Linked DNA regions of Arabidopsis thaliana. The protein of the gene in region 1 purifies or fractionates together with the protein of each later gene. This does not show direct contact. Each region holds a gene or a part of one and is shown on either strand. Other genes may lie near its edges.

The links.
Region 2: the proteins of AT4G18670 (region 1) and HON5 fractionate together in Arabidopsis thaliana (co-fractionation; one large-scale study listed by BioGRID). This does not show direct contact.

What each region holds. Positions count from the first base shown.
Region 1 is NC_003075.7:10,274,925-10,280,869, reverse strand, and holds AT4G18670 (Leucine-rich repeat (LRR) family protein), read left to right. Parts: upstream 1-2,075; 5' UTR 2,076-2,378; coding exon 2,379-4,952; 3' UTR 4,953-5,408; downstream 5,409-5,945. UniProt on the Arabidopsis thaliana protein: Modulates cell morphogenesis by regulating cell wall formation and assembly, and/or growth polarization.
Region 2 is NC_003070.9:17,972,922-17,978,741, forward strand, and holds HON5 (high mobility group A5), read right to left. Parts: upstream 3,743-5,820; 5' UTR 3,381-3,742; coding exon 3,141-3,380; intron 3,056-3,140; coding exon 2,162-3,055; intron 1,626-2,161; coding exon 1,551-1,625; intron 1,458-1,550; coding exon 1,227-1,457; 3' UTR 721-1,226; downstream 1-720.

The DNA.
Region 1 (5,945 bases):
GTTTAGATACATGTAAATGTAAATGCATGCATACGGTACGTGTAATCTAATCACTACGCGGTGGGTTTTTGTGAAATCGTGCTTTAACCTTTATTAAATTGGATGTTATCGCTCTTGGTTTGTAGATATTTGAGTTTATATGTAAACGGACAAAACGCAGATGAATAATACTAGTGCCTGACAAAATTATTTTGGACATACTTCACTTTGAAAAATGAAATAATATCTTCTTTTCTGAATCATACAAGTACATCTAAAATTTTACAGAAAAACAATCAAAATAAAACAAAACAAATTATGTTGGCAAGAAAAACCCATAAATTTAAGTTGGTAAAAAATAATATCTAAGTCGTGCAAAAAAAAAAACCCATAAATTTCATATGAAACGTATAAACTAGTAGTATTTTAGTAACTCGACAGTGAAAAAAATAACTCAAATAAACAAAAACAAATCATGGTATAAGAAAAAAACTTGTCTGTATTCATAGACAAAGAGTAAGCGTCGCTAGACTTGTTGGAGCTTTTGTTATTCCTTATGTGTATAAGACGACAACAGCAAAAGCTTAGGCATGCATCATGTCGGTAGTGGTACTCTACTACTACGTCTCACTCTCGTATACACATTAAGACACCTAACATGATCTCTTCTCTACTTAGACAATATTACAAAAAGATTATCTACTATACGTACCTCAAACTCACGTACTCACATCAACAAGTGGTTAAGTTTGACTTCCCGGCTCCGCCTCTTGCGGCGGTTGCATCCTCCCCACGTGCACACCCACGCCTTTCTCTAACTCTTCCCCACTCTTGCAACGACAAGTTTAATCTTTACTCGGCGAGCAAATACTATGCCGCTTGAACCGGCGTAACAACACCCACGATCTTCCTAAGTGTCTCAAACCTCAGCTTATCAGCTTACTAGTATCCAATCTATAAATGTAAACACTTTAACTTGTTATGATTTATCGTAAATCATTTATGAATCAAGAAAACCAAATTTATATGCGTCTACAACTCTACATGAACTGGAACATCTGATTGATAACACATTATAGTTCATATTTTCATATTTGCAAGCAAAGGTATAAGAAGAGGATGGAACAAAATATAAAAAATGAATTGAATCACTCGCCATAAAATAATATACTTGGCACATTATTTATGTTTTTTGCCAAACATTTGGCACAATTTATAAATTTATAAATTACAAAGACTGAAGCAAACCATTATTCCATATATACAAAAAAAACTTAGCATTTAAATTTATATTATAGACAATCGCAATAACATCAAGGGTAAATATAAACATTATTTCATATTCTGTCGATCCAATATATATAGAGAAATATAAAGGTATATTATTACTGTGGGTCATGTCGTTTTAAGACAATTCCGACATAAGAACAGTTAACTGTTGAACTTTATTTATGTTTTGGACTAGTGAGTAGTGACACCTCAAAAGAAAAAAATGAATACACGTGAGTTACGAGTTTCAACTAATTCATTTAACTTACTGTTTGACATGATAGCTGTAAAATACAAAGCACAGCAACATTTTCATTTTATGGGCTTTAACAACATTGATAATCCATGTCAAGCGAGAGATAACGATAATTGAGTTCATTTAGATTCAAATTTCTTTTAAATGAGAACTTTTAACAATGGAGCTCTTTTTTTTTGGCTTCGGTTAGATATTCTGATTCAAATTGTACACAAGCATCATTATGGATATGCTTATATTAAAAACCGTGTGATGGCCTATTAGTAACAAGTAGTATTTACCAAACTTTGATCAAAAAATTATTAGTAGATATAAATGTTTTCCAATGCAACTAATCGTTGTATTGGAATAGTTCATGATGCAAACAAAATTATTAACAAGTCTTTACCAAAATTTAATCCAAATGTATGGCTAATCACAAAAGGTTTCCAATATCAGCAAGTAATAATTAATAGTTGAAATGATGCTAAACAAAATTAACTACCTAATGCCTAGAGCAATGTAAATTGTCTCTAATCAAAACTTTAGTGTTGACCAAAATCATTAAACAATTATAATTTGTAACGTATATAATCAATCATGTGATTAGTTCAAAAAAGAAACCAAAAAGTCGATCATACATTTATATAATTGTTAGGTAATTCATGGACACACATCAATTAATTAACATTACACTTTTGACAGTGTAAAACAGACAGTGTTATAATAAGTGAAGAGTATATGAATAGGGCTGAGCTGTGCAAAGACCTGTCTCTCTCTCACTTATAATTCCCTCTTCACACATTACTTCTTCACTTATAGAGATTCTCACTTACATTTCCCATTTTACCCTTCTTCTTCCTTCAAATCCACTGATGTCTTGTTATGTGAAGTAATGAAGACGAAGATGATGATGAAGAACACGTCTCTGATCTTTGTTCTTCTTTTTATCACCTTCTTCTTCACAAGTATCTCTTACTCTCTTTCACTTACTTTCAATGGAGATCTCTCCGACAATGAAGTCCGGCTAATCACACAACGTCAACTTCTCTACTTCCGCGACGAGTTCGGCGACCGCGGCGAGAATGTCGACGTTGACCCATCTCTAGTCTTCGAGAATCCACGACTTCGAAATGCTTACATAGCTCTTCAAGCTTGGAAACAAGCTATTCTCTCTGATCCAAACAACTTCACAACAAACTGGATCGGTTCTGATGTTTGCAGTTACACCGGCGTTTACTGTGCTCCGGCTTTAGATAACCGCCGGATCCGTACCGTCGCCGGAATAGATCTAAACCACGCTGACATTGCTGGTTATCTACCTCAAGAGCTTGGTTTGTTAACAGATCTCGCTTTGTTTCATATTAATTCAAACCGGTTTTGTGGAACCGTACCGCATCGGTTTAACCGTCTTAAGCTTTTATTCGAGCTTGATCTCAGTAATAACCGGTTCGCCGGAATATTCCCTACTGTTGTCCTTCAGTTACCGTCGTTGAAGTTTCTGGATCTAAGGTTTAACGAATTCGAAGGACCTGTACCAAGAGAGCTCTTCAGCAAAGATCTTGATGCGATTTTTATCAACCATAACCGGTTCCGGTTTGAGTTACCGGATAATTTGGGAGATTCTCCGGTTTCCGTTATTGTTGTGGCGAATAATCATTTCCACGGTTGTATTCCGACGAGTTTGGGTGATATGAGGAATCTTGAAGAGATCATCTTCATGGAAAATGGGTTTAATTCTTGTTTACCGTCGCAGATCGGACGGTTGAAAAACGTAACGGTATTTGATTTCAGTTTTAACGAACTTGTTGGGTCGTTACCGGCGAGTATTGGCGGGATGGTTTCGATGGAGCAGTTAAATGTGGCGCATAATAGATTCTCTGGTAAGATTCCGGCGACTATTTGTCAGTTGCCGAGGTTGGAGAATTTCACTTTCAGTTATAATTTCTTCACTGGAGAGCCGCCGGTTTGTCTTGGGTTGCCTGGGTTTGATGATCGGCGGAATTGTTTGCCGGCGAGACCTGCGCAGAGATCACCAGGGCAATGTGCGGCTTTCTCTTCTCTTCCGCCGGTGGATTGTGGTTCCTTTGGATGTGGTCGTTCTACTCGGCCTCCAGTTGTTGTCCCATCACCGCCTACAACTCCGTCTCCGGGTGGTTCTCCTCCTTCGCCTTCTATTTCTCCTAGTCCACCGATCACTGTCCCGTCACCGCCGACAACTCCATCTCCTGGTGGTTCTCCTCCTTCACCGTCTATTGTCCCGTCTCCTCCTTCAACTACGCCATCTCCTGGTTCTCCTCCTACATCGCCGACGACACCTACTCCTGGTGGTTCTCCTCCATCATCGCCGACGACACCAACTCCTGGTGGTTCTCCTCCATCATCGCCGACGACACCTACTCCTGGTGGTTCTCCTCCATCATCGCCGACAACACCTTCTCCCGGTGGTTCTCCTCCTTCACCGTCTATTTCTCCTAGTCCTCCGATCACTGTCCCGTCTCCTCCGTCAACCCCAACATCTCCTGGTTCTCCTCCTTCGCCATCTAGTCCAACTCCGAGCTCTCCTATTCCTAGTCCTCCTACGCCATCAACTCCGCCAACTCCGATATCACCTGGTCAAAATTCACCGCCTATTATTCCTAGTCCACCGTTCACCGGCCCTTCTCCGCCGTCGTCACCTAGTCCTCCTTTACCGCCTGTTATTCCTAGTCCTCCCATTGTAGGCCCGACTCCATCGTCTCCTCCGCCGTCAACACCTACTCCGGTTTACTCTCCTCCCCCGCCGTCTACAGGGTACCCTCCTCCCCCGCCGTTTACAGGGTACTCTCCTCCATCCCCACCACCTCCTCCTCCCCCAACTTTCTCACCTTCCCCATCAATACCTCCACCACCGCCTCAGACATATTCTCCCTTCCCGCCACCGCCACCTCCTCCGCCGCAAACATACTATCCACCGCAACCATCTCCATCACAACCCCCGCAATCTCCAATTTACGGCACTCCCCCTCCTTCCCCTATACCTTACTTGCCGTCACCGCCTCAATTTGCATCCCCACCACCACCAGCCCCTTACTACTACAGCTCACCACAACCACCGCCGCCGCCACATTACTCATTACCACCACCAACCCCTACTTATCACTATATATCCCCACCACCTCCACCAACGCCAATACACTCCCCTCCGCCACAATCACATCCACCGTGCATAGAATACTCACCACCTCCACCTCCAACAGTCCATTATAATCCTCCACCACCACCATCACCGGCGCACTACAGTCCTCCGCCTTCACCACCAGTTTACTACTACAATTCACCTCCACCTCCACCGGCTGTCCACTACAGCCCACCACCTCCACCGGTAATACACCACAGCCAACCACCACCACCTCCAATCTACGAAGGGCCACTACCGCCGATTCCCGGAATATCATACGCATCTCCTCCGCCGCCTCCCTTCTATTGATTCTTTTTCAGAATGTTCTCAAAAGGGGCCCACCACTTATGCCAAAACCCGAAAACGAAACGGTGTCGTGTCGTGTCAATAACACTTATCCGATTGATAGAAACATGTAACACGGCGTCGTTTGACCATTTCTTGGAGAGAGATGTACGTGTTGGTGGTTGGGTATTCTCCGAAAGATTTATTTCGGTGAACAAAATTTTAAAAAGAAGAAAATTAGGCGTTTTTCAGGGAAAAGTTGTATAAATAGATTAATTAAAATATGGAGCAACCTCATATTTATGCTCCTTATATTTCTTATTAGTGTTCTTAAATAATTATCATTGTTTTTTTTATTAAACTTTATCATTGTTACTTCATTTTTTGTGTTTTTTCTTTCTGGTTATCTTTTTCTTCTCATATATGAAATTATCTTTTTTGTATTTCCTTATTTAATTACTGCAACTTTTTGCCTATGTTAGCGTCTTTTAGTTTTATATTTTTGATATATCAGAAACTCCAAATAAACTATATGTATATTATTTTTTTGTTCTCAATTATTCTGGTTCATGCACGAGACTTGTGTGTGAGAGACTGTGAGTGTGAAATCGGTATAAAGTAAGAAAAAGAAACATAATTGAATCCGGTCCAGCATGAAATGCATAGTTTTGGATGAAGCAAAGCCAAGTAGGGCCAATGTCACATGTGCCCAGCACCACCTGACTGACTACTTTGCTGTTGGAATTTATATCGGATCCTTGATTGCCGCTTTCATTTTTATTATTTTAATTTTTATATTATTGTAGTACTATATGTTTGTAATTTAGCTTTAGATTTGTACTTCGTAAATAATTAGGAAATTGTTTATACAAAAATATTCTTATATAAAATCGGTATTTGAAAGGAAAAATGGGTGAAATTTTGAATTTTGGCTTTTAAACTGTGTTGGGGATGTGAGAACTGAAAACTGTCCTTTTTTTTTTGGTAGTGATGTGAGAACTGTCCTTGCCTGCCGAC
Region 2 (5,820 bases), on another chromosome or scaffold:
AAACAACCAGAAACTCGATTTCGCTAAAACCTTAACGAAATTTCAAATGTCACAAACCTAGAATCTAGAAACGAAGACTGTAAAACACAGATTCAGGCTCTCACGCGTAGAGATTTCGTTTTGAGAAAAACTAGGGTTCGCAAATCGCAATGTACGTACCTTGTTCAACTTAATAGAAGGATTCGCGAGATGGTAAAGGAAGCTTGAAGAATCTGGAGGAAGAAGAAAGAAATTACAAAGAGAAACTTGGCGGAGAAGAAAGATAAGAGAGATAGAGATGGTTTTCGCGGTTAGAAGAAGAAGGTCACCACCATGGGCTAGAGCTTGGAAAGAGTAGAAACGAACGACCGAGAGGTTCAGAATCAGTTGCGTCAACCGATATGGGTCCACCTTTACTCCTTGTTTTTATTTTTATTTATCAACATTTCATTTTTCTTTTTAATTCACAGATTTTTAAAATAAATCACGAATATTAATTTTTTGGTATTATAGTATAACATGCAAATGTGGTGGTGATTTCTTTTTAACTTTTTCAAAAAAAAAAGTTGATTTATAAAACCAAAATCGAAAAATACACTACTTTATTTCAAATTCAAAATTTTTTTGGAGAAAAGTATTGAAAACTTGTTAAAAAAGTGTTTATCGAGTAATAAATTTAGAAATTTGGTTAAATGGTGTGTGAGTGAAGAGTAAAACCGTTCTATACCTTCTACCTAATTTCTGCAATAAGTACACTTAAAATTAAAACCGGATTTCAAATTAAAACAGAGCAACTGACATAAGCAACTTTTATTTAATGGTTTTCTAACTACATAACGTAAGAGACTTGAAGAAACCATCATAAAAAGTAGAAGTGGTCATAAAAATTACATAAGCGTTTTTGATAAACATCAACAACAACTCCTAAAAAGCCTAAGGAGACAAAATAGAATAAGAGACACAACAGTCTAAAAAAAACACGAGGGAACAAAGAACAAAGCTGCCTACACAGATATGGACGATGGAGAGAGATGGGAAGCATGAACAATGGTAACATCCTAATTCACTTTACAGACATTACCCTACCTCTCCTTGTTGTTTGGTTAGAGACACAATCATCATCATCAGTTCATCACATTGTTCTTTTTGTTTTTCTCCTGCAAACACCCTTATAAGATTAAAAATTTCATGTAACACACAACAAGTAAACCCACCACTTGCTAGCTTTTTATGTCAAGGCTTTATCTTTAGAACAGAGCTTCTTGCATTGCCTCTGCTTCTGTCTGTCCTTGACCCTCTGCTTCTGGTTCGGTTTCAAGGTGTTCCTCGTCTGGCAGCTGCACTTCTTCCATGTGCTTTGGCTCGTTTGTTGTCTCTGCTATCCCTTCCAGGTCCTGTATGGCTTGAACCACTGCTTGATTTCCACTTCCTCCTATCTCGGATTTCAACACAATTACAATATCCTTAGCTCTCGCTTGCTGCATAAATGAGATATCAAAACCAAGCATAAGCAATTAAGTATCAAAACCAAGGACGGACCATATTGTGTTTCTGTTCATTAGATTACTTACAAACAACTCAAACTTCTTCTTCAGTTCTCCATAGTCACCATCTTGTCGTCCAGAAGCTCCCACTGACACCGCATTCTATGTTTATAAATGGCAATAATATAAATGTAATTAGATAACTAACTCATCAATATAATAGACAAAGAAATTCTAGTGGACTTGGAAATACACAAACTCTTGAACTTTGACTGAATTAACTAAATTTCTGCTTAAAACAGACAAAACTTGATAAGATGTCTGTCTCAAAAGATAAGTTCATATGTAATTCTCACACTTCAACTGAACAATTATTGGTTGCTAAAGCGAGCCACCTACCAAGTTGCTCTTGATTACCAAACAAAGAGATATCTTAGATTAATAGTACACCACAAAACCAGATTAAGTATAGGCCAAAAGCAGAGACACGAATATAAATTAAACTCTAGAATTTATTTAGTTAGATACTCTCTAGTCTCCACACACACGCTCGAAAGAGACAATGTTGAGAATGGAAAGTGACATTTATTCACAAGACAAAAGTTCCAACTTTTATTCTCTTATCTATTTGACTAGAAATATTCAAGTTCTCTATAATCACTGTGTAATCGCAGAGACAAAAAGGAATGATATTTTACCTTTCTGGGTCTTCCTACGGGTTTTCCAGTACGAGCAAAGCTTCTCATCGGCTTCATAGGCTTCCTGATAACACCTCCAATCTTAGGAGGCCGTCCTCTTCCTCGTTTCTTGACTGCAACCTCCTCTCCTCCACTCTCTACGTTAGTTGGTGGTGGTGGTGGTGGAGCAACAGAGGAAGCACCACCAGCGTCAACTCTCTTTGGTCTCCCTCGGCGTCTAACACCACCATTAGCAACATACGGGAACACTGAAGCTGGAGCTGAGACTACTATAGGCTTTCTCTCCCTCCCAGCAGCTCTTCCACTCGGAGGTCTACCTCTTCGTTTCACAGTCTCCACACCACCGGAAACAGAAGCAGCTGGCTTCACCGTCGGCGAAGTTCCATCTTTTCTAGGACGACCCGGCGGTCTCTTAACCGGCTGCTGTGGCTGTAACGGTAACTGTGGCGGCTGTATCTGTATCTCCTCTGGTCGAGAGACAGGTAATTCACTCTGTTCCCAGGTGAGTTTTCCATTAGTCAGAGGTTGAGGTTGAACAACATCTGGTTTAGCTTTTGGAGGTCGACCACGACCACGTTTAATAGTCTGAGGAGTAGAAGAAGCCAAAACCGGATCAGGTAAAGGTTGGTTCTCGTTGACTATGAAATCAGATCTGGGAGGTTCAAGACTAGGAGCTACACTAGTAGGAGGAGGAGGAGGAGGAGTAGAAGCAAGCTTGTAAGATTTCTTAACCATGACAAGAATCCCACTGGTCTTCAAAGTCTTGAGATGGTGTGTCAACAAAGCTCCATGAGCAGTAGGAATCCCAGTGTAAATTCTCTCTATGTACCTCGAAATAGCTTGCTTGCTTGACCCATCTGGTTCGTTTAACGCTGCAATCGCCGTGCAAATCATCTAATCAACGAAAAAAAAAAGTGAGTGGAAATTAAAAACCCTAACTTTAAAGTCAAAATGTAAGAATGAGCTAAGAAGAGCTTACGTCAGAGTAAGGAGGGTGGGAAATAGATGGATGAGGAGGAACTGGAGATGTTTGTGGCTGCTGCGGAGGAGCTGCTTGATAGAGATGGATGTTGTTTGGCGGCGCGACGGCGGTGGGTCCGGTGAAGAAGGGGTGGTTTGGAGAGGCGAAGGGGTTGGTGTTGGTGAAAGGAGGGAAAGATGTGAACTGAGGAGGAGGAGGATGATGAGGATCATTGGTTGCAGAGAGAGAAGGATCCATGGAGGATTTAGTGAGAGAGAAAAAATACAGAGCAAGGAAGGTGATGAGATTTTTGATTTTTAGTTTTTTTTTTTTGTTTCGGTTGTTTTAATTTTTCAGATAAAATTAAAAAAGTTTTGTGGAAGGAGAAGATAAAAAATAAAAAATAGTTAGGTTGGAGGAGAGAGAGTGTGTGTAGTAGTGTAAGAGAGAGATCGAAAATGACGACAGATGAGATAGTTAAAATCTGACCGTTGAAAGTGTATTTTGGTGCTGATTTACGACACGGATCGATGACGTGGCGTTTTTTGCTTTTGTTATTAAAATTGAGTTTTGTGTTTCTTTCAATTTTTTTTATATGTTTTTCTGCTTCTCTATTCAAGTACCATATTAAACTATATGTAAACATTTTTTTTCTAATTCTGAAAGTTTTTAAACATGCTTTCATTTCTTTATACTAATAAATTTCTAGAACAAGATTTTTTATACTAAATTCTCTACTTAATATCGGTTTACAAAAAAAAATGTATATTTCTAACCAATCAGTTTTTCATATTCTTTATGTTTTAACATTTACTTGGATTATATGATGTGCACTAACACCTTCTTCATTTTCTTGATCACTATCTCACTCTAATTCAAAAAAAAGAAAAAGAAAATCTCCAACAGTTAAAAAGTGCTATTATAAACACGTTAATACTGTTTTAGGTAAAATAAAACTCAAATTTTAATTCACTTTTTGTTTTAAATTTTTAATAGCTAATTTTATTGACTTTTTGAAATAAGACACTTCGTTAAGTTGCTTAACGAAATAAATTTACAACGCTAAATTTTCATCGAGATTCTTTGTTAAACTACGCAAAATGACACTAATATGATTTAAAAAAATTAAGCTCAGAAAATATATTTGAACTCCTTATTCATTTTTCAATCCATATATACATAACCAATAAAGGTAAGTTGAATTTTTTCACACCACAAACATTCAAATTTATATTCTTTAATATAAACTTTCTAAAATAAAAAGTTTAGATTTAAATCACCATAGTCTAATTGGGTTACTCTCTCGTCATGGCTGATTTAAATTCTCTTGTATAGCCTTTTCATTTTGTGTTTCTTTCAACTTTTTGTTTTGTTATTCTAATTCTCTATTCATGTACCATAATAAATTATATATAAACAATTTTCTTATCTAATTTTGAAAGTTTTCAAAAAAGTTTTCATTTTTTATATTTAAAATTTTTCTAGAATAAGATTTATAATTTCATTATCTACATTTATAACAAATCATTTTTTCATATTCTTAATGTTTTAACATTTATTTGGATTATGATGAACATTAACACCATCTCATACTATGTCCTCGTAAATGGCACTTCCTATGAAAATTGGAAGCTTTCATGGAGAATTCGACAAAAGCGATGATTTGTCTTCATATATTTTTATTCTATGTGCAGAGATTTTAAGTCAACTGATCATCAAAGTTGAAACAAATGGTGGCATCGAGAGCATACGCATCGCTCAGTCTGTTCCTACGGTTAATCATTTCTTATTCGCCGATGATTATTTGTGTTTTTGCAAAGTTGCAAAACAAAAACTACTGGTTACAGTATATATATATATATATATATATATATGTGTGTGCCAATTATTATAAGTGTTCAACTCAAAAGGTTAACTATGAGACATTCTTAATAATATTTGAATAAAACGCATATTCATAGAATCCTAGAGATAACAAAAATTGGAGGAGGAAACAAATATTTGAGTTTACTAGAGCAATTTGGAAGAAAACAAACGAATTATTTGAGTTTGTGCAGAATAAGCATGACATCTAAAGGGCCAAGTCTCTATTCTTCACTTGAGATTACGCTAATTGGAGATGTTCAGGGATTCTATGGACTGCTCTATTCAGCCTAACGAATGATCTTAAGTCCAAATCTCAATAACTCCAAATCATTCTGTTACATATATCCGACTTCTACCTTTTGGGATGGTTTGGCGCATCTGGAAATTGAAAAACGATATAATAATGTTTAACCATAAATATTATCAATCTCATAGGTCTACAATGTAACAATGATGTCCACAAATGGATAAATGCCCAAGCTGACTAAAGTCAACAAATGCAACCAGGTCCACCACAACACAAAAATTTGGGCCGAATGTATCATTGATAGCAAGTTGAGAAACCTCTAAACAATGAATATAAGCAAGACACTACTTGGTGAACAAGTATATTACCTTTTAATAAGTAACTAAACAATATTAGCCTTAAATTCCTCAAACTCAATAACCATCATTATATGTATCAGAACTCCTATAAGTATTCCCAATCCGGGTCATCTTCAAATGGAACTCTTTGGCCGTTATCTTTCCATCACCGTCAATATCACAAAGAGCAACGATCTCTTCACTACATAAAATAGTCTAAACCCGATGATTTTTATCTTTGGACATT